Anolis sagrei: one gene and its partners. The protein of the gene in region 3 interacts with the protein of the main gene of each other region in a biochemical or structural test. Links are inferred from orthologs where the notes say so. Each region holds a gene or a part of one and is shown on either strand. Other genes may lie near its edges.

Region 1 (7,881 bases), on a different chromosome or scaffold from region 3:
AAGTCATGTTGAAATCATAAGAGACTAGAAATCAGAAAGCTGCCAGATAATATTGTCACCAATTTCATCAATTCTTGTCAAAAGAATTTCATCCCCCAAATCTGGAGACAATATCCAAAGGAGAGTAAGTTATCCACTGGATTCCCTACCATGTAAGTTACATAAACCAAGACTGAGCTGCTGCTCCCAAAAATCCTGCCTGATTCTAACATTACTACCATCCTATGGATGGACAAAAATATATATAAAGCCAGATTTTTTAAACATCTAAACCATTATAACTGTTGCTTAAGAATTTGTATCACATTTTTTTTAGTTGAGTCTGACAACACAATAAATTATTTCCATTAACTTTACTTTGCTCTTCCCTAACAATGAATGAAGTGTTGTTTACTTGACATTTACAACAAAAATACTGAAATCTCTATGTCAATATTTTCTAATATTCTACAAAATGATTTCAGCATTGAGGCTGCGGTGGAGCAACAGGTTAAACTGCCGAGCTGCTGAACTTACTGACTGGAAGGTTGCGGTTCGAATCCTCAGGATGGGGCGACCTCCCATTGTTAGACCCAGTTTCTTCTAGCCTAGCACTTAGAAAACGTGCAAATGTGAGTAGATCAATAGGTACCACCTCCGCAGGAAGGTAAACAGTGCTCCATGCAGTCATGCCAGCCACATGACCTAGGAGGTATCTATGGACAATGCCTCCTAGGCTTAGAAATGAAGATGAGCATCACTCACCCCCCCCCCCCCCCCCAGAGCTGGGAGGGGAAGCCTTTACCTTTATCTGTGTTTCTTTGTCATGTTTCTATGCATTGAATGTTTGCCTTTGTGTTTGTGTATGCTGGAATCCACCCTGAGTGCCCTTGGGGACATAGGGCGGAATACAAATAAGTCGTTGTTGTTGTTGTTGTTGTTAGAATTAGCATTAGCATTAAGAATTTATGCTGTGCAGTATGGTACCAGTTATATTTGGATATTTTTTAAGCTGACAAATAAATGTTGCTTTGGGAAAATGTTAAGGGTTTAAATCTCTTGGGAAAATACAAAAAACTTTATCAATTGGCGGAGAAATCAAACACAGATTAATGTACCGTAGTATCTGCAGTGCAACTGCTGTGATGGTGAGCCATATGGACCACTTCAGATTTGTTTTCTACAATCTGCTAGTATATGCTATTGCTGCAGCAAAAGCTATCCAGAGCTTAATCCACACTGCTTTGAATTGCAACTAAAAAAGATAAGGTTTTCTAATTATACACTTCCGCAGCATGAGTGTCTATGGTGAAGCTGCAGTTAACAACTGAATCAGAAAAGGGGAGCGGACTGTGATTTGGGGATCCCAAACTATGGGAGGAAAACTTGCAGTCCACCCCCACCTTCAAATAAACTGATTTTATTTGTACAGTGCCTAGCACTTTAGACACTTAATATAATGGGCTATGATACAAAGCACTACATATCCATGCTTAGAGATAGGCTTTCCAGCTCATAATTCTCCAGATAAGATATTACCCCTAAAGCTCTGTTAAATTTGTGGCTCCGGGGACATGAGACCTAAAGGAACATGAACAAAAACACATGCTATAGGTACATGCAAGCAATAGAAGTACTGTAAATTATTATTCATCATTATTTTATTTATACCCCACTTTGCCCCAGGCTCAAGAAGCAAGATGGATTATAGGAATTCAAATGTATAAAGATAAAAGCTCACATCACACTTATACAGACAACCTGGGTTCATTTTAACTGAGCATCGCAGAAGAGAAACAACACCTTGCTTCAGTTTTGAGTATATCCTTGTTCTGCAGTAAATTGCTTTTTAAAAATCCATGCCTTTAATCATCTAGGCCATCAAGATTTGCTTTAATGAGTACATATATATCTTTATTTGGTTTCTGTGAGTTTTCTGGGATATATGGCCATGTTCCAGAAGCATTCTCTCCTGACCTTTTGCCCTTATCTATGGCAGGCATCCTCAGAAGTTGTGAGGTCTGTTGGAAACTAGGCAAGTATCTGTATTGTTTAATTTATGCTACAGTGACTTGCCATTCTGAAGCACACAGAAATGCAGCATTTCTTAGAAAAGATACTGTAATGAAGAAAGTAAGCTTTTTGGTCAAGCTGGCTCTCAGGCCACAGCAGCTATTGCTGAGTTGGATCTAAACAATTTGCATCATTCTGCGTCTGCTCAGTGATCATAAATATTTTTCAATGGCAGTCAGACTTCCCATTCATTCCTAATAACATGATTCTAGACTGCCGATGTGTAACATATGTGCATTGTATTCCCACCTCCATCACAGAAACTGGAAGGGAAGGAGACACTGGCTGTAAAGACATTAATGGAGCATTGAAGCATTTTTGCTGTGTATGTGTGTAATGCAAAAAATATAATAGGCTTTTTGTAAGGGGTGGGAGGACCCTAAGCCAATTCAAATTACTTTTATTCAGCAATGTGAGCATCTTTCCAGATTCTAGCCCCATCATTAAATGTGCGAGCATCAGAAAAAAGTAATCAAGGAGCAATCCGTTACATTCCTACTTGATCTGCCCTTGCTCCAAGTCTGCATGGGCTTATCTACTAAGTTCCTTGTTTTTAAAAAGTTTACACAGAGGCTTAAAAGCTATTACTGACAATTCCTCCCATTTATCCCAGCCACCCATTTGCCAGCCAAGAACACCACAAATACACACCAGCAAGAAAACTACGTGCAGTTCCTGCAGCTTCCCAATTAACCATTTCTCCCATTTGCAGGCAATGCCCACAGCTCCCTTGCACACGGTTTCACAGAGTCAATATTTGTTTTTACAATTATTCATTTACCCAATGTGTGACTTACCCTGGATGCTGCCAAAGATTTGCATGTCGAACCACAGGTAACAATTCCCTCTTATTGAGAGGGGTGATCCCAATTGCAGCTTCAAGAATGGTGATGTACTTCTTGTACTTCATCCTGCCTCTTTCAATGCACCGCTGAAAAAAGCTACCACCTGCTTCTGGATGCAGCATTGGAAAGCATCTGGCCCCAGCAACCTGACTGAACTACAGTGCTGTTTTTCAAAATGTGTAACACACATTGCAAGCTGGGAGTTATAAAAATAACTTTTGGGAAAAGAGTTATAAAAAAAACCCCAAACAGATTCCTGACAGATTCCCCTGAAACGTCATGGTTACATAATTCCAGCGATCTTTGAATAAAGCACTAATGAAAATGAGTCAAGAGACAATCAAGGTCTAAGCCCGCCTGATAATGTACACTCTCCAATTTACTAATCCTTTGCTAAATCTCCAAGGCTTATAATCTTCCAAGTACTAATGGAGTAGCAGGTGACTCGTCTCTCAAATCAAGTAAAGGGCTGCTAAAGATTTGTTCGCTAAACTTTATATAGTGCAGAATGCAAAACATCCTATTTTCTCAATTTTTGGGAGCCGCACTGATCATATCATAAAAATCAATAATAAAGGGAGAACAAAAGGAAGCAATACGTAAAAAAGAAAAACACAAACTTTGCAGGGACAGGAAAACTGAGACCTACATTGATCTGGACATAATTGAGAGAAACAATTTCATTCATTTGTAGTGGACCTTGTAAATACGAATAGATACTCTCTTGCTTGGCCATAATAAAAGGTAACTGTTTCCTTTAACATTAAGTCTAGTTGTGTCCAACTGGGAGGTGGTGCTCATCTCTATCTGGCATTGTCCATAGGCACCTCCAAGGTCGTGCGGCTAGCATGACTACGTGGAGTGCTGTTACCTTCCCACAGAAGTGGTACCTATTGATCTATTCACATTTGGATGTTTTTGAACTGCTAGAATGACAGAAGCTGGGACTAACAGAGGGAGCTCACCCCACTCCCCAGATTTGAACTGACAATAATAATAATAATAATAATAATCTGTATTTGTATCCTGCCACCATCTCCCCAAACGGGGACTCGGAGCGGCTCACATGAGGCCAAGCCCAAGCAACAAATTACAATAAAACAATAAAGTACAAAGCATATAAATACAATAACCAATATACACAAAACATAAAGCAATAAACAACATAATGACAGTAAAAATGGTTTAAAAACTCAGGGTGAGATAAAAGGGGCAGATTATTTGCATAGGGGAACTCATAGAGACACAGTGTAATAAACATACCTTTGTACAAGGGGGGGGGGTACTCTTAGGTCAAAATGTTGAGGGGGGCAATAGCTAAAGCTTGTGTGGCTACTCTCCAAAAGCGCAGCGGCACAGCCAGGTCTTGAGATTCTTTTTAAAGGTTTCTAAGGTAGGGGCTTTCCTAAGCTCACCGGGCAGTGAGTTCCAGAGTCAGGGAGCCACAGAGGAGAAGGCTCTTCTCCTTGTACCCTCAAGGTAAGCCTAAGAAACTGGCAAGGGTGAAAGGAGGGCATCCCCCGAAGATTGAAGAGCTTGATCTGGTTCATGGAGAGAGATACGGTCACGATGGTAGGTGGGTCCCAAACCGTTTAGGGCTTTATAGGTAAGAACCTGCACCTTGAATTGAGACCAGAAAATGAATGGCAGCCAATGAAGCTCCTTAAACAGGTGGGTTGACCACTCCCTGTAAGTTGCCCCAGTTATTAATTTGGCTGCCAAGCATTGGACAAGTTGTAATTTCTGGGCTGTCTTCAAGGGTAGCCCCACATAGAGTGCATTGCAGTAATCCAGTCTAGAGGCAACTAAGGCATGGACCACCATGGTCAAGTCAGAGGTAGAGGGTGTGACCTAAGCCCGGTGACCAGAGAGCGGATCAATAGATCTACAAACACCTTTCTAAAAATGATGCCCAGTGTTTTATCAAGTGAGAACAGCTCCTCCGCTAGCAGTCTGTCTTCCAATGAGATGAGAAGACATGTAGAATGGTCCCAGGATAAAGCCAGTCAATGGTTTTGATTTTCACTTCTGACCGGCTTACAGATAGAATTTGGGATAGAGAGATCTGGACCGCTCTCTTTGATGTCCATTTGCCTCCGTTCCATAATGAGTCTGAAATTTCCCCAGCCAAGTTATTAGTCCTCAGCAGATGTTGACAATGGTGTGGAGTGTCCAAAGTTTGTTCAACAGACTCAGTTGTGAACTTATTTTCTATGTTGTGCAAGACAAAGTTTGTCTGATCCGTCCTCCCCCCTTCCTCTAAAAGCCTCAATTCCTGACCTATTATCTACTTTCTGCCCCTCAAACCTATTTCTCTCCTGGCCTTTCGTTGCAGCTACATCCTCAACAAAATTTGTCAACACAGCGGGTTCAGCAGCTCAGCAGTTTAATCTGCTGCACCACCAGGGGACAATAATAGGCAAGAAAATATCTGGTTATTCCACTCACAAAAAGAACCAGCACATATAAAGACGTTTTGTGGACTAACAATATTATTTATTTGCTTTGCTGTAAGCTCAGGGTCAGCTCTACAATTAGGCAAAGTGAATATGCCAGCTCAGGAAACAGATTTAAGATATCACAACAGCCCTCAAAATATGTAATTATTAATGTATATCTTCTGTTGGAGGCAGGGAGATATGTTTTTGCACCACATGTACCAAACAATATGGTAGGCATTATGACTTGGGTTAATCAAGAGGTACTGTATGATGTTTTGCCTAAAGTCAGCCTTGTAGTGAGTGGAAAACATTACACCCTCCACATCAAGCACCAATAAGGTCCCCTCAAACTATTTGAATGCATATACACTGTAGAATGAATGCAGTTTGACACCACTTTAACTGCTATGGTTCACTGCTGTTGTATTCTGGTGAGGCACTACTACTCTTTGGCAGCAAAGACTAAAGACCTTGTACAACTACAACTCCCATGATTCCATCACATTGAGCCATAATTATTAAGGTATTACCAAATTGCATTCATTCTACAGTATAGATGCACCTAACATTCTGTGGATCTATTATTTTAATTCAGTAACACTTCCTATGGTAGATGGGGAGTTGATATGGGTTTGTGGGCCGCATTTTCTCTACCTTTTATTTATAACAGAGGAGCCCCCGGTGTCGCAATGGGCTAAATCCTTGTGCCGGCAGGACTGATAACTGGCAGGTCAGCAGTTCAAATCAAGGGAGAATGGGTTGAGCTCCCTCTGTCAGCTCTGGCTCCTCATGGAGGGACAGAAGAGAATCCTCCCACAAGGATGGTAAAACATCCGGGCGTCCCATGGGCAACGTCCTTGCAGATGGCCATTTCTCACACATCAGAAGCAACTTGCAGTTTCTCAAGTAACTCCTGGCATGAAAAAAATTACATCAGAGATGGGTAGCTGTGTTCCCCAAGTATGTTTGGCCATAATTCTCACGAGCAATAAACAGCATAGTTAATAATGAGAAATTGGGGGACATGAAGTCCAGAAACATCTGTAGAACCTCATCTATAGCTATCCTTAATGCCAAAGAGGCCCATGTAGTAGAATCAGTGTTCTATATATTTTGTATTTATTAACAAATACTTTTCCCTGTTGTAGACTAAATTACTCCCAAACCCATATTGTACAATTAAAGTGTTCAAAATGGGTGAAAATCAGCTGGTAATAAGAAGGGGAGAAATGCTGACAGGGAAGTGCATGACAAAAACAAAAGCAATTAGTTCTGGAATTTACTCATATTTTCTGTTAATCTTGTGAAGAATTTGCAGGTTTCTTTTAATCTTTGTGATCTGCTCAAGACATTGGACAACATTTGTCACACTGGATTATTCACAACATCATTAAGAAAGAAGAGAGAGAATATGCAACAATGTTCCTTTCCTTCAACCCCAGATATATTGTTCAAAACTTTTCTTGTGCCCGTATTCAGCCCATGGGTTTGCCAACCAGTAGGGTGTTTCCATAGGTTTCATATGCCCCACAGACTCTCATTATGACTTGAAGCATGATTCTTGTACACAATCTAGTCGCCTGTCTAACTGGCAAAATTAAAAAAGAACTACAAGTGAGTTCCTTTTTTCAGTATTGCAACGTTATTTCATTGTTGATAAAATGAACACAGGGAAGCAGAAATTATTCTCTTATCTTCCATTTACCTTCAAAATACTGCGAGACAAATTAGGTTCAGGTCAAGAGAATAGCGTAAGTGCATCAGGAGGGTTTTAACTGTCTCCCCATTTTTCATGTCCTAACTTTTCCCAACCTCTTGTCCTTCAAATGTGTTGATGTATAAATCAACTTATATACAGCAGATTATATATTCTGCAGGGTGGGAAAATTGTAACCCATAAGTCACATTTGTCCCTAAGGCAAATTTGAGATCTTCAGCTCCCCCAAATATGTTGCTGAGATTTATTCTACCACATTTCTCTACCAACCAAAGCTCAGGAGATGCATGTTTTCAAGGCTGTTTTCAGTTTACATCTTGGTTGTAAAATGGTCTCTGTTGGACCCCAAGCAACTCAGCTAGACCCCCAAATGGGATAAAACCAGTACAGCACACTACCTTTCAGTGTATCATCTCCCTGTTATTGTTCACCTAATGATGCAAGCCTTGTGAATCAGCTCTACAGTGAATTAAGTGTCTTCAAATTACCTTTGGGTTTATTGTGACCCAATTAATTTCACAGGGTTTGCTTATGTAAGGAATACATGGAGGTGTTTTGCCATTGCCTTCCTCCAGATATTTCAAGGGGGTTTTTTTTATGCCAAGAGACCCATGGCTCTAGGGCTCTCTCCACCTCATTACATGTAGAACATGCATGTCTGGCTCATGCCCACATCAGTCCTCGCTTCCAGGGCCAGACCTTGCATTTGGCTGAACTAGCCAGCTGGTTTAAGCATCATATTTTTAATGCCACAGGAGGGCAACAACCTGTTAATCCCTGAATTTATTTTCGTGATTTTTTTCATAGAGTGAATTGTCAAATGTTC
Region 2 (7,319 bases), on a different chromosome or scaffold from region 3:
CCTTCTGTTCATCATTGTAATTTACCCTGACAAGGGAAACCCCCAAACTGCAAAGACTTGAGACCTTTGATTAAAGGGCAAGGAGCTATTAGCTCTTTAACCCAACGAGGGATGTCAAAATTCTCTCCCAGAAGAAATGCCCCCTCACTTCCTCCAGACGTATTGTAAGGTTGTCTACTCTTTAGCTGTTGGAATTCAACCACACACTGCTCAAGTCTGCAGTCCTCAATGAGAAGCAACTAGATAACTTAGGCTAGGCTGTTGATGCATCTGTTTTTCTCTCGCTCGCTTTCTCTCTCCCCCATTCTAATTGATGAAATAGAATGGCAGTTCTTTAGGATGCATGTCCTCTCATTTTAAGGCCTCGGGTCACACTTCTTTTTCACCCTTTCGTTCAGAACCCTCTCTACTCTGCATGATTGAGAAAATGTAGTATTTAGAATTTTTTCCATTTTGTTTGAATCTTAGAAGTAATAGGGTTAGAGAGAAGCTTAGACCGAACCTTTTCTACACAAACAGTTGCGTGATAACTAAAAACAATAGGTTTTCAGATGTGAAAATATAGTTTGATGTAGCAATGGTCTAGAAACCAAAAGGATTTATATAGTGTAAGTCATTAAAGAATGGGAGCTGGCAATCCAGCAACTCAACAATAAAATAAAGCTAAGCTGGTTGTAGAAATATCCACAGAGGATCCTATAAGGCTGCAAGCAAAGAGAAAACTGATATTAACTTAGAATCTCTGACTCTCTTACCTGTCCTACTCAAACAGATGCCAGAGAGTCCTTAATTATAGATAATGTGTTAGAAATGCTAACGAACACTTAGCAGCTTGAAAATATAATAGATGTCTCAATATTATCACTGTATGCAACAAAAAATTACATTTTATGCTTATTTTAATAAATAAAAATAAAGAAGAATGGAAGAGAGAAAATTAGGCCCAATATTTTCTATCAAGAAATCACAGAGTAATAGAGTTGGAAGAGACCACATAGACCATCTAGCCCAACCCCCTGCCATGCAGGAAAAGCACAATCAGTATCCCTGATAGATGGTCATCTGGGCTCTGTTTAAAAATTTCCAAGAAAGTAGCTTCCACCATACCCTGAGGCAGAGAGTTCCACTGTTGAACTATGCAATGGACTTAAAAGAAAATTGGCTTAAGATGTTCCATCAATGGTACATTACACCCAAAAAATTAGGATCAATGTATAAAAATATGGACAAGAAATGTTGGAAATGTCACGAGGCAGAGGGCAGCTTTTTTCATATGTGGTGGTTGTGTAAGAAAGCTCAAAATTACTGGAAAAATATTAACCAAGAGACACAAAAAAAAATACTGGGAATACAATTCCCAAGTAAATCAGAATATTACTTATTAAATATATTATGGACTCAGAATTCTCTTCAGACTTAAATATTGATATTTTATTTACTTATATCTCAACGGCAGCAAGGATATCTTATGCAAGAATTTGGAAAATCGGCAAAACTCCGGAGGCAGAAGACTGGATAGTCAAACTACAGGAGATTAAGGACATAGACAAATCAACCTATTTTTTGAAGAAAAACATGGGAAAACCAATAAAGGATACAAATTGGTCACTATTTGAAAACCATCTAAAGGAAAGATCTTAACAACATATGAAGAGAAAACTTAAACTGAAAAATTTGTAAGCGAAGACACAGAATGGAAGTCAACAAAACCTTTTTATTTTGTAGTATTATTATTTCTCTATTTTTTTGATATTTTTTTTTATATATACGGATTCTAAAAATTTCCTACTATCCTATATCTAAATGTTCTCCCACTTTCCTTGTAAACCTTTCTCTTTTAGGCATATGTATAATAACTTAATAAAAAAATATTGAAAAAAAAAGATGGTAAAAACTTGGCTGTGGGACCAAGCGTTCGAAAAAGGACAATAAAGTAGCAATAGGAAAAATTACCAGGTGGATTAGATTTGACGCAGATGACCAAGACGGTTTAAAATGGTGAATTTTAATATTATGATAAATGTTTTTTAATGTTTATGTATGTGTATATGAATCCTTGTCTAGGCATTGAATGTTCACCTTATATATATATATATGCTGTGCTCCGCCCTGAGTCCCCTTTGGGGTGAGAAGGGCGAAATATAAATGTTTTAGATAAATAATATATTTTAAATAAACTTTTTGAAACTGTAAGAATTGAAAGTCTGCATCTTTGGTTCAGTAAATATTTTACAGCAGGCATGGGCAAACTTCGGCCCTCCAGGTGTTTTGGATTTCAACTCCCACAATTCATAACAGCCGGCGGGCAAACTTCGGCCCTCCAGGTGTTTTGGATTTCAACTCCCACAATTCCTAACAGCCTACCGGCTGTTAGGAATTGTGAGAGTTGAAATCCAAAACACCTGGAGGGCCGAAGTTTGCCCATGCCTGTTTCACAGTCACAACACTACACCTCCTGCTTGCTGTGAGTCGACTACTCAGTTTAGTATCCTGTCTTGTATTTAAAATACTATTTTGGACATTTCCCTAACATTAACCCACTCCTACTGAGGGTTCTGTTCCTTCCTTTCCTTCTCCCACCACGCCCAATTCGACCCCAGGAGCTCTTGTTCCTATTGTATAGGGTCTCCACATCCTATAGGCTGAGGCAGAGAAAAGAGAAGAGTTTGGGGTTATGACCCTGAATGCCTTGAGCAGCACTTTCCGGTCCCCAGGTGTTACTTGTTGTTGTCTCTGGGACAGTCCTGGCCACTTCCGGAAACAGGGAATGGGTTCCCCTCCTTCAGGGGCTGCCTTCTCCACAGGAAACCCCCCTCGGAAAGCCTCACGACCCCCTCCTTCGTGAGGGCTGCCCCCCTTCCAAGCCCCCCGCTTGGCACCCACCTGCCGGCCCCGTCGCCACCGCCCTGCTCGCCTCTGGCTCCGCTCCGACTGGCTCCGCGCGAACAATGGGGGCGAGCCGAGACCTTCCCTGACTGAGCCGAGCCCAGCCCCGGTCCCCATGGACACAAGCCACGCCCCTCGGAGCTCTGATTGGCTGCCTCGGCCGCGAGGGGAGGGGGCGCGCGAGACCGCCCCCACCCAACTTCGCCTCGCCCCGGCTGGGGTGTTTACAGCCCGGGTCTTCTGATTGGACGAGGGTGCAGGAGGAGGTGGAGCCTGGAAAGAACGGTTGGGAAAGTGGAATGCCCGGCAGGTGTGGGCGGAGCCAAGGCCGAAAAGGGGCGTGGTTTCGTCCCCGTCGGGCGAGGCGGGAGTGTTTTGAAGGAGGTTTGAGGTGAGAGGAGAAGAAGAAGCGCATGGTGAGGGGAAGGTTTGAGGCAAGAAGTCATTTCGATTTTTGAAATATTAAAACGATATTTTTTATTGAATAACATCATTACAACAGTATATATTGGTGTGTTTGTGTGATATTTATGTGTAGACACAAACACACATATTGCTTCTTGTAAAAACAAGCCAATAGGATTTTGGCCTATAGAATCATAGAATCAAAGAGTTGGAAGAGACCTCGTGGGCCATCCAGCCCAACCCCCTGCCAAGAAGCAGGAATATTGCATTCAAATCACCCCTGACAGATGGCCATCCAGCCTCTGTTTAAAAGCCCTCTGTTCTGCCTTGATTAGAGCACACCTGGAATACTGTGTCCAATTCTGGGCACCACAATTGAAGAGAGATATTGACAAGCTGGAATGTGTCCAGAGGAGGGCGACTAAAATGATCAAGGGTCTGGAGAACAAGCCCTATGAGGAGCAGCTTAAAGAGCTGGGCATGTTTAGCCTGCAGAAGAATCATAGAAACATAGAGTTGGAAAGAGACCTCATGGGCCATCCAGTCCAACCCCCTGCCAAGAAGCAGGAATATTGCATTCAAATCACCCCTGACAGATGGCTTTTTAACATCTACATGAAACCACTGGGAGAGGTCATCCGGAGTTTTGGAGTTGGGTGCCAGCTCTATGCAGATGACGCACAACTCTACTACTCTTTTCCACCTAACTCCAAGGAAGCCCCTCGGGTGCTGGACGAGTGCCTGGCTGCTGTGGCTGTCTGGATGAGGATGAACAAGCTGAAGATCAATCCCGACAAGACAGAGGTCCTCCTGGTCGAGTCAGGCATGTAGCCGGGGGGGGGGGGGGGGGGCTTGAGGGGCTTCAGCCCCCCCCCCCTGAAATTCTCATGGTGGTTCGCGAAAAGGCCTTACTGGTGCATTATTTAAACTGTTATGTTTATTCATATCATGATCTGATCACCGTGCTCAATATATCCCATATGCATGGGGGTATTGGGGTAACAATACAAAAGGTTTGCTAGGGTAGACCCTCTTTCACTCAGACTCAGCCCCCCCCAAAAAAACAAACTCAGCCCCCCCCCCCCCCCCGGATCAAAATCCTGGCTACGGGCCTGGGTTGATCGTAAACTGGATCGGGGTATAGGGTGGCAACCTGTGCTGGACAGGGTTACACTCCCCCTGAAGTCACAGGTCCGCAGTTTGGGTGTCCTCTTGGATTCATCACTTACGCTTGAAGCTCAGGAGTCGGCGGTGGCCGGGAGGGCTTTTGCACAACTGAGACTCATGCGCCAACTGCGACCTCATGAAGGCTGATCTGGCCAGGGTGGTCCATGCCTTGGTCACCTCCAGATTGAACTACTGCAATGCGCTCTATGTGGGGCTGCCCTTGAAAACGGCTCAGAAATTCCAACTGGTACAACGGGCGGCGGCCAGGTGGTTAACTGGTGCTCCTTACAGAAAGAGGTCAACCCTCTTGTTTAAGGAGCTCCATTGGCTGCCATTCATTTTCCAGTCCCAATTCAAGGTGCAGGTGCTTACCTACAAAGCCCTAAACAGTTTGGGACCCGCCTACCTGCGTGACCGCATCTCCATATATGAGCCCACACGATTTGTCAGATCATCTGGAGAGGCCCTGGTCTGCAAGCATGAAAATATGGTCCGTGGCCTCACCATTACTACTCCGTTGCCTCGAAACCACTCAGCAACAAGAGTGACTGGTCTTGCAGAACCATCTTATAGTGCTGAGGCAACGGGGATGTTGGGAGGGGAAAGGCTGACCATCCACAAAATATTACTACTACCACATCAGCTCTAGAGATTATTAAATATGGTTTTCTGTGGGTGAGCAGATGGTGACTACTGGATGGCATATGTTCTGTATCAGAAACCAGAGCTGATGTGGTCTATCCAATGCAGTTTTTTGAATCAGCACCCCAAATAAGCAAACTGAATCTAAAGTTGACCAAAAAACCATTTCGTAACCTTTTTGGTACTAATGTTGGAGGATAGTCTCTGGTCAAAGTGGTCCCTGGTCAAAATAAGGTTGAGAACCATTGCTTTAGGATATACCCCACTTTTTCAACAAAGTATGCTGGGTGGGGGTTCTGGGTGTTGTATTCCAGAAGGATACATTTGTCAAGGGCAGCCTTCTGGCATTAAAACAGCCCCCCAAATTCCCATGTGATCAAAATTCTCAGCCCAACTTCACAAACTTCCTGCTTCTAAATGAAATGTCCCCTTCACGCTCCCTTTTTAGCCACAAAAGTCTCATGGCGCTTGAAAACATTTTATGTGCCATAAGTTTTCATGCCTCCCACTTCATCAGATGAGTGAATTAATGGCTCAGTGGGTAGATTATTAAATATATGTTGAGGTGGGCAACCGAGCGGGTGGACAGGGGATGTAACCAGTGGGATAGGAAGGAATTAAAAAGCAGAAGTACATTAGCAAATAATAGGGATGAAAAATAGCCATTAACAAACAGCAGTTAGCATTACGGATTTTAAATATATTATGAGCAGTTATCATTATTACCTTAAAAGTTGCCATTAACAAACAGTATTTAAGTGGTAACACAGAAACCATTTCTTTGATGAGCAGATTAACACATGCAGGGAGATAAAAAGCCTGAGTCTCTAATCAAATGAGAGGTGATAGAGGTGAACCTCATGATGAATACTTGTTCTTTTGGAATCTCCCTTTGAGGGGTCTTTTTGTACTTTGAAGTTCTTTGAAGTTCTTTTGTTTAATGATAGCCACCTTGATAACAGTGGCAAATGTAATGGGACTCTGAGGTTTTCTCCCACTGAGTTGTGAATATTATTTTGAATTATATATAATTGTTTCTGATGTCTGCTTGTGTCCATTTATTCCAGTCTGTCCAATATAAAATGGAACAAGAAATACTGGCAATAAAATTGGAATATATCACACTGAAGGCTGTGGCTAGAATCCCTGGCATTTGCAAGTGACAATATTAGGTCCCTAGCAGAATAGTCAGAGTCATATAGATTGCGGCTTTGTCTTTGAAAGATGACCTCTGACCTGTTCCTCCAATTTATTGCAATAATTATTTCTCTTCACTCTTTTCTTCCTTCATGTATTGCTCTCAATGCTTTATTCCCCAGTTCTTTAAAAACCTTTTTGTTTCTTACAATGCCACACTTTCAAGATGAATCTTGCCCTCCATATCTCTTTCTTGCGTCTCCCTGTTTTTTAATTTATTTTGTTTATTGGTTTATTTCTTTTAAAATCTTATATTCTACCTTGCTTCTAAGAGGAACTTTTCTAACAGAGAAGGAAAGAGAGAACATTAAACTATCAAATTAACATAACAAACCCACAACAATTACCAGTCCCGTGCCCCTCAGATATTACCTTCCTACAATCTATGCCTAAAACCCTCCAGTTACATTGTTTTCCCAGTTTCCTCTTACTCTCCTATGACCCCAATCTACTTTTCCATCTCTCATTTGTTGTATGCCTTCAAGTCATTTCCAATTTATGACAACCCTAAAGCGGTCTTATCACAGGTTTCCATGGCAAGATTTATTCAGCTTTTCATGTATTCAGGGTTTCACTTTGCCCTCATCTGAAGCTGAGAGATCATGACTTTTCCAAATCATCCAGTGGGTTTCCTTGGCTGGTCTCTCTTATGAATGTCAAATACTTCTACCTTTGTTGCATCCCCAAATTATACTTTGTTTCTTTTGCATAAATATCAGCCAGTTTCTATTTCTCTTTTTGGGAAAGGGGTTTTAATGTGTGGCCACAGCCCAACCCCAGGTCAGTTTTTGGAACTGAAAATGCGATACGTGACAGCTAAAACTCTAGGTGAGAAGAATGATGCTGTGTTGGTGCTTCTTGCCAGACCTCTCAGCAGGATCTGTTGCTAATGATCACAGGATCCTTCTAGACCACTTTTGGAATTGAGATTGGGTTCATGCTATATTACATAGGATCTGGTTCTTCCTGCAGCAGTCTTGGGAGCCTGTTGAGAGGCTCCTTAGTCTCTCAAGATATCACTT
Region 3 (7,986 bases):
GAACCTCCGCCACACTCCAAGGCAGAGAGTTCCACTGCTGAATAGTTCTCACAGTCAGGAAATTCTTCCTAATGTTCAGATGGAATCTCCTTTCTTGTAGTTTGTACATTTTTTTTAAAAAAAAACTGACTTTTTCAAATAACCCAAATAAATAAAAATGTAATGTTCGTTTGTGGGATTAACATAACTCGAAAACCACTGGACGATTGACACCAAATTTGGACACAATACACCTATCAGGCCAACAAGTGACCATCACTCATAAAAACACAGTGGAAGCAACTTAAAAGGCCAAAAAATGCATTACAACGCATGCACAAAACCACATATACACAGACTGGGCCACAGCAATGCATGGCATGGGATGGCTAGTAAATCTATATAAATAAAAATGTAATGTTTGTTTGTGGGATTAACAGAACTCAAAAACCACTGGGCGAATTGACACCAAATTTGGACACAAGACACCTAAGAACCCAATGTATGTCCTTTATTTAAAAAAATTGATTTTGTCATTTGGGAGTTGTAGTTGCTGGGATTTATAGTTCACCTACAATCAAAGAGCATTCTGAACCCCACCAACGATGGAATTGAACCAAACGTGGCACACAGTTCTCCCATGACCAACAGAAAATACTGGAAGGGTTTGGTGGGCAGTGTCCTTTGGTTTTGGAATAGTAGTTCACCTACATCCAGAGGACACTGTGGGCTCAAACAATGATGGATATGGACCAAACTTGGCATGAATACTCAGTATGCCTAAATGTAAATACTGGTGAAGTTTGGTGATAATAGACTTGACATTTGGGAGTTGCAGGGATTGATAGTTCCGTATTGTTCATAATGCGGCAGCCAGGTTACTCACAAGAACGCCCATGAAATGCCATATAACACCAGTGCTGCAACATTTACATTGGCTTCCAACTGAGTACCGTGCCCTGTATAAGATGTTAGTTCTGACCTTTAAAATTCTTTATGGCCAGGGTCCATCGTACCTTAGGGACCATCTCTCATTCTCCCATCGTCGGAGGTCGCAACGACCATCCCAACGTGACTTACTTTATATACCGGGTCCTAGAGAAGTGCACCTGGAAAGGACCAGACGCAGAGCTTTTTCTATTTCTGCCCCTGCCTTGTGGAATTCCTTGCCGCCCTATATGAGAGCCATTCGTGAGTTAGGGCCTTTTACCCTAGCACTTAAGACTTGGCTTTTTACTAGAGCTTTTGATCTATGTTAATTTTATCAATATCTGTATGTATGTATTTTTATCCTTTACAATTTTAGTTTGTAAATCGCCTAGAGCATCTTGGATGGAGGGCGATTAATAAGTAATTAAATGATGATGATGATGATGATAGTTCACCTACAATCACAGAGCATTCTGAACCCCACCAATGATAGAATTGGGCCAAACCTCCCACACAGAACCCCCATGTAGGCCACAGCAATGCGTGGCAGGGGACAGCTAGTAATAATAATCTATATATATATATATATATATATATAAATGCTCTGTGCATAATGAGTTCCTTAAAAACAAAATAACCAATGAACGAAATCACACCAAATTTGGCAACAAAATGTCTCACAACACAAGGAGTGACCATCACTCAAAAATTATGATTTTGTCATTTGGGAGTTGTAGTTGCTGGAATTTATAGTTTACTTACAATCAAAGAGCATTCTGCACTCCACCAATGATGGAATTGAACCAAATGTGGCACACAGGACTCCCATGACCAGCACAAAACACCAGAAAGATTTGGTGGCCATTGACATTTCATTCATTGATTCTTTTGGGGGGTTTTTGAGTTTGGGACTTGTAGTCCACCTACACCCTGAGAGCACTGTGGACTCAAACAATGATGGATCTGGACCAAACTTGGCACGAATATTCCATATGCCCAAATATGAACTCAGATGGAGTTTGAGGGAAAGAGACCTTGACATTTGGAAGTTGTAGTTACTGGGATTTATAGTTCCCTTACAATCAAAGAGCATTCTGAACCCCACCAACGACAGAATTGGAGGAAACTTCCCACACAGAAGCCCCATGACCAATAGTAAATACTTAAGGCCATCCAATCCAACTCCCTTCATCAGGGCAAGAAAACGTAATCCTGACAAAGAGCCATCCAGCCATAAATATAGATAGATAGATAGATATGATTCTCACACACAATATCATAGATTTGAAAGGGACCCTTAAAGAAGGACAGTGATATGTTGCATGGTCCAGAGTAGGAAAATCAGACAATCTCCACATCAACACTGACAAAGAAACAGCAAGAAATACTGATTATCAAGCAGAAATAAATTACATATATTAGAAACCAACACTTTCTCATTACTTTATTTTCCAGATCAACAGACTGGGCCACAGCAACGCGTGGCAGGGGACAGCTAGTAATAATAATAGCATTTTCCCCTTTCCATTGAAGTTTACACACTCTTGGGCCAACTTGGTGCGCCAGCGCACACAATGAAGGCCCACGCCCAGCTGAAAGTTTGTTTTCAACGTGAGGAGGAGTCAGCATTGTTCCCCCTTTGGAGAGGGAGGCCTTCCCAAAGAAAGAGAAGTTGGAGTGAGAGTTCTGTCAAGGAGGAAAGAATGGAGGGAGGCTATGGAGAAGCTTCCAACAACCAGAACTAACTCTTGGCGGAAGTGAGGCTGGGCCCTTCCTCCCTCTTCCCCTCCCCCCCCTTGCGCTCAAATCCCTGGAATGAGGCCTCCGCCCAGAGGACGGCGGAGAGGCCTCAAACGTCGCGCCCCTTTGGCCTCCTTCCCTTTGAGGGGGATAATAATACTAAGCAGGCAAGAGGCCTCTCCTCTCTCCTTCTCTCCCTCTGAGTCCCAGCAGCGACGCTCCCAAAGTTTGACGGTGGAGGAAACCAGGCCCGAAATGGGAAAAGTTCGCCTCCTGAAGGGGAAAGTTACCTGCTGTTCCTGTTGCTCGTCCTCCCCCCTCTGCTCTCGCTCTCCCGTCTCGCGCCTGGCTTCTGCGGCTGTTCCGTCTTCCGCCCCGCCGCGCCCTGTCCGGCCAAAGAAGCCGAGGAAGCCGCGCTCTTCCGGGCACCTCCCCCCGCTCTCTTTCCCAACCCCCCGCTCTTCCCGGCACCGCCCTCCGCCCGCTCCAGCTGCTCTTCCCCAGCGCCGCCCTCCCGGAGGCTCTTCCCAGCAGCGCCCGCCCCACCCCGCTGTCGAAGTTTAGTGCCAGCCCGCCCCGTGCTTTACTTTCCCCGCTGACTTCTCTGAAATGGTTCTTTACCCTTTCCTCCTCCACTCCCAAACGTCTGCTTTTTTCCTTTTTTTCCCCGAAGGGGGTCGGTGTTGGAATGTAGGACAGGGAGGGAAACCGAGTGGGGAGGAGCGGCGATTGCTGTAACAGCCAAAGAAAGGGAGGGGGGAATGGAGGGAGTGAATCAGGGAGAGAGTTTCAGGTGAAGGAGTTGACTGCGCATGCGTGGCTCAAGGGCCGAAAGCGCCTCAGGTGGCTTTTCTGAGAGGAAGAAACTTCCTCAGAGGCAGAGGAAATGTTTGCCATATAAGGCTGGACTCTCCTCGATATGTAGGACAACATATCCCTCCCATTTCCTCATGGAAGGGCCTCCATTTCAGGAAAGGAACGAGAACCTCTCAATAAAAGTTTGCTCCAGGCACAGTCAGCCCATTGTATGCTAATCAAGGTGGTCAGTTGAAACATTCACACCTAGCTCCAGCAGACAAGAGTCCTTTGTCCCACCCTGGTCATTCCACAGATATATAAACCCTTTTTCCTAGTTCCAACAGACCTCGCTAGCTCTGAGGATGCTTGCCATAGATGCAGGCAAAACGTCAGGAGAGAATGCCTCTAGACCATGGCCATATAGCCCGAAAAAAAATACAACAACCCAGAAACGAGAAACATGGCCCTCCCTCACTGGCATCTCAGTCAAAGCTTCTCATGGCTGTTGGTGTATTGAACTAATATTCACCTCTATTTTCTGAAGAAAGGATTCAAGGCAACCAACCAACAGCCAGGCTAAAACTTGACATTCATATACAATCGAGCACAACGCGATCACCGGCAGAGCCAGAAGAAAATATTGTATTACCAGAACTTGCCAGGCAGGATGCGTCTGCACTGTACAATTAATGCGGATTGGTTCCTCTCTAGCTGCCTAGCTCAGTGCAATGGAATCCTGGGATTGGTCATTTGCAGAGGCAACAGCTCTCATGGCAGAGAAGCCTTAGAATCCTATAATTGGAAGAGACTTCGTGGGCCATCCAGTCCAACCCTCCTCCAAGAAGCAAGAAAATTGCATTCAAAGCACCCCCGACAGATGGCCATCCAGCCTCTGTTTAAAAGCTTCCAAAGAAGGAGCCTCCACCACACTCCGGGGCAGAGAGTTCCACTGCTGAACGGCTCTCACAGTCTGAAAGTTCTTCCTAATGTTCAAATGGGATCTCCTTTCCTGTAGTTTGAAGCCATTGTTCCGCATCCTAATCTCCAGGGCAGCAGAAAACAGGCTTGCTCCCTCCTCCCTATGACTTCCTCTCACATACTTAAACATGGCTATCATGTCTCCTCTCAGCCTTCGATTCTGCAGGCTAAACATGGCCAGCTCCTTAAGCTGCTCTTCATAGGGCTTGTTCTCCAGACCCTTGATCATTTTAGTTGCCCCCCTCTGGACACATTCCAGCTTGTCAATATCTCTCTTGGATTGTGGTGCCCAGAATTGGACACAATATTCCAGGTGTGGTCTAACCAAGGCAGAATAGAGTGGTAGCATGACTTCCCTAGATCTAGACTCTAGACTATTGATGGAGGCCAAAATCCCACTGGCTTTTTTTGTCGCCTTGCGAAACTGCAACTCCCACATTCCTCTAGCATTGAGCCATGGCACTTCAAGCAGTGTCAAACTGTGTTAGTTCATGAGTGCAGACGCAGCCTATAATTTTTGAACTAAGACGACAGCCAAATTCAGGGTTATCTGGTATGATGGCACTATACATTGATGATGATGATACATTTTATATCTCAATAATATTAATATGTATGGGACCCCTGGTGGCGCAGGGGATTAAACCACTGAGCTGCTGAACTTGCTGACCAAAAGGTAGACGTTTCGAATCTGGGGAGCGGGGTGAGTCCCACTGTTAGCCCCAGCTTCTGCCAACCTAGCAGTTCAAAAACATGCAAGTGTGAGTAGATCAATAGATACCATTTCTATGGGAAGGTAACGGTGCTCCATGCAGGCCACATGACCTTGGAGGCCTCTATGGGCAACGCCAGCTCTAGCTTAGAAATGGAGATGAGTACCAATCTCCAGTGTCGGACACGACTAGACTTAATGTCAGAGGAAACCTTTCTCTTTCCCTTTTATGCTATTGTATGTTATGAGATTTGAACCTTCAAAGATTTTGGTATCCACAGGGGATTTCCGGCTGTGTATAACTCTCATCATCCTCAGAGCCACCTTGTGAGGGATCTTGAACTGAGAGAGTGACAAATTTGGGGTTATCCGGTATGATGGCACTATATATATCGATGATGATGACAAATTTTATATCTCAATAATATTATGTATGTATGTTGTATGTATATATATATGTCCCATCTCGTTATGTCTAGAGGTGGGGCACAACATATTAAATACATAATAATACTAAAATGCATTCCATAAAAAGCATGCATTATAACATATTTCTATAAAATACACATATTAAAATATATGGAACAGAAATTAAAACACAATAAACAGAATGTGAATTTAAAAGTAAGGCTTACACAGACATTCTTCGAGTTACAAACATTCAACTATTAAGCAACTCCTAGTTAAGAATGGGAGCGAGACTACAGGAAATGAGAGAAACCCGCTCCTTGGAAGGGAAATTCACTCTTAAAAGAGTTATGTGGAAAAGGTGTCTGCACTGAAGCCATGTCACCAATCCTTGTTTCCATGACAAGCCATATTTTTCAAAATCCAGTTGTCACACAGGGGCAAAAAGTGAGGTGAAGTCTTCTGAACAGGGGCACAGGGGTGTTAACCCTTCCCTATGCTATCCAAAGCTAAAATATAAATATTTTTGTCTGGAGTTATACTTAAACATGTACCTGTTCCGACTTACAAATGAATTCAACTTGAAAACAAACCTACCGAACTTATCTTGTTCATAACTTGGGAACTGCCTGTATCTTGATCTCTCAACACTCCTTACTCCTTCTCCCAATGTTTTATAAAATATTCTTTTATATGTTTGGTGTAAATATTGGGGCCAGGTGAGCCTAATGTGGGACAGCATTCTATAATGGTGACGTCAGACCTCGAAAGATCCACTCGCCGTATCTCTATATTAGGAGGACATAGGTAAGTGCTTCCAACATGGATTTAGGACCTTCTCACACAAGGGCCCCCCTTTAGTACAGCTGGCCCTTGGTATTTATGGATTTTGCATCCACGGATTCCATGATTCATAGCTTGAAAATATTTCAATAAAAAATTAAGAAAAGCAAACCTTTGCCATTTTATACGAGGGACACCATTTTACCATATCATTGTATGTCATAGAATCATAAAGAGTTGGAAAATATCACAAAGGGATTGTCCCTGTCATATCTGAACAGTTGGTATGTAGTAATCTTATTTCAGCATAGGAGATGTGACATTATCCTCTACTGAGTGCAACAGGACTAGCTTAGAGGGTGCATAGCAGGCCGCTCCAACTCACAGCTCCATCTGTCACCTTTTCTGCTGACCACTCCGATTAACTTGTCAATGCAACAGCAAGTGGAGGAGTTTGTCAGCCTGGCCTGTCTTTCTCTCTGCTTGTGTAGTCAGACAGGGGTCTTTTTGAACAGTGCTACCCAAGAGACTTAAGCAGCAAAGACAAGAAACAAGTGAGTATCACATCCATATCCAGTGGGGCTTGATATTACCAACTTTCGTCAAATAGATCTGGGAACCCTCCAAACCAGATAGTCATCTAGATCTTGCAGACTGGATGCCATGGCTTTCTTGAATGGAATGCAATCTTTCACTTTTCTTTTCTCACTGCCTGTTGGATTCCCAAACATTGCACATCCCCCCAACCCCCCCCCCCCCAAACCCTGGTGTCTTGGGTTTTAGGCCTGTTCCTGGGGTTATTTGGAGCGCTGATTCACACCTTTGCATTGGATAGACTGCATCAGCTCAAGTTTCTTACAACTTCATCAGACGGATTGATTTGCCTGTCGTTGGTGGCTTGACCTCCCTTTATGGTACAGAGCCTTTCACAAGATGTAAAGAGACTTCCGGCTGGGCTCCATGCCAAAAAGGTAGAGGAAGCAACATTGGCTACCACTGCGGCAACAAGGAAGTCCTGTATTGCCTTTCCTTTAATGGGGGGAAGTCGGGCAGTGATGCTCCCCCCTCCAACAATGGGATGAGGGAAAAGGTAAGGAAAGCAATCCAGGGTGTGGAGCGGTGGCTTCTCCAGACCCCCCAACTGGAGCCAGCCCATGGATTCCCCCTGATGGAGGATGAATCTATGGGCCTGTATGATAAGGTCATCACATATGGTTATCATGATTTCCTGTCTGGAATATGGCATGTGTTCTGTGTCCCAAAAAATAGAGTTGATAGGGGAAAGCTGATGCGATTTTTGAAATCATCAGGTCAAATATACCCAGAAACAGGTCTAACATTTGACACCCAAAATATGTGTTGGCCAGTGTTTATGTGTTCTCTAGAGTCATGTCTTACAATAAATCCAAGGTACAACAATAAAAAATTAGTCATCATGTGCTCACTTTCATCACTTGAATAACCTATTTCCCCCAGTATTTTCTGAATATTCCCTCCACCACACATTATGGCCACAATTTCTATACAGAATACTGTGTTGATCCATATCAACAATAAACAATTTCTTGTTGTATGCCTTTTAAGTTGTTTCTGATTTCTGGTGGCACTAAAGCAACCTATCTTGACAAGATTTGTTCAGAAGAGGTTTGCCATTGCTA

The links.
Region 1: the proteins of CTNNA1 (region 3) and TJP2 form a complex in vitro, tested with the Homo sapiens proteins (2 studies listed by BioGRID and IntAct, with this or other methods). The link is inferred for Anolis sagrei from reciprocal best matches to the Homo sapiens genes CTNNA1 and TJP2.
Region 2: the proteins of CTNNA1 (region 3) and JUP form a complex in vitro, tested with the Homo sapiens proteins (2 studies listed by BioGRID). The link is inferred for Anolis sagrei from reciprocal best matches to the Homo sapiens genes CTNNA1 and JUP.

The regions. Positions count from the first base shown.
Region 1 is NC_090022.1:221,774,862-221,782,742, reverse strand, and holds the start of TJP2 (tight junction protein ZO-2), read right to left. Parts: upstream 3,099-7,881; 5' UTR 3,020-3,098; coding exon 2,850-3,019; intron 1-2,849. UniProt on the Homo sapiens protein: Plays a role in tight junctions and adherens junctions. Acts as a positive regulator of RANKL-induced osteoclast differentiation, potentially via mediating downstream transcriptional activity.
Region 2 is NC_090026.1:38,502,078-38,509,396, forward strand, and holds the start of JUP (junction plakoglobin), read right to left. Parts: upstream 3,001-7,319; 5' UTR 2,884-3,000; intron 1-2,883. UniProt on the Homo sapiens protein: Common junctional plaque protein. The membrane-associated plaques are architectural elements in an important strategic position to influence the arrangement and function of both the cytoskeleton and the cells within the tissue.
Region 3 is NC_090021.1:140,799,007-140,806,992, forward strand, and holds the start of CTNNA1 (catenin alpha-1), read right to left. Parts: upstream 3,094-7,986; 5' UTR 2,940-3,093; intron 1-2,939. UniProt on the Homo sapiens protein: Associates with the cytoplasmic domain of a variety of cadherins. The association of catenins to cadherins produces a complex which is linked to the actin filament network, and which seems to be of primary importance for cadherins cell-adhesion properties.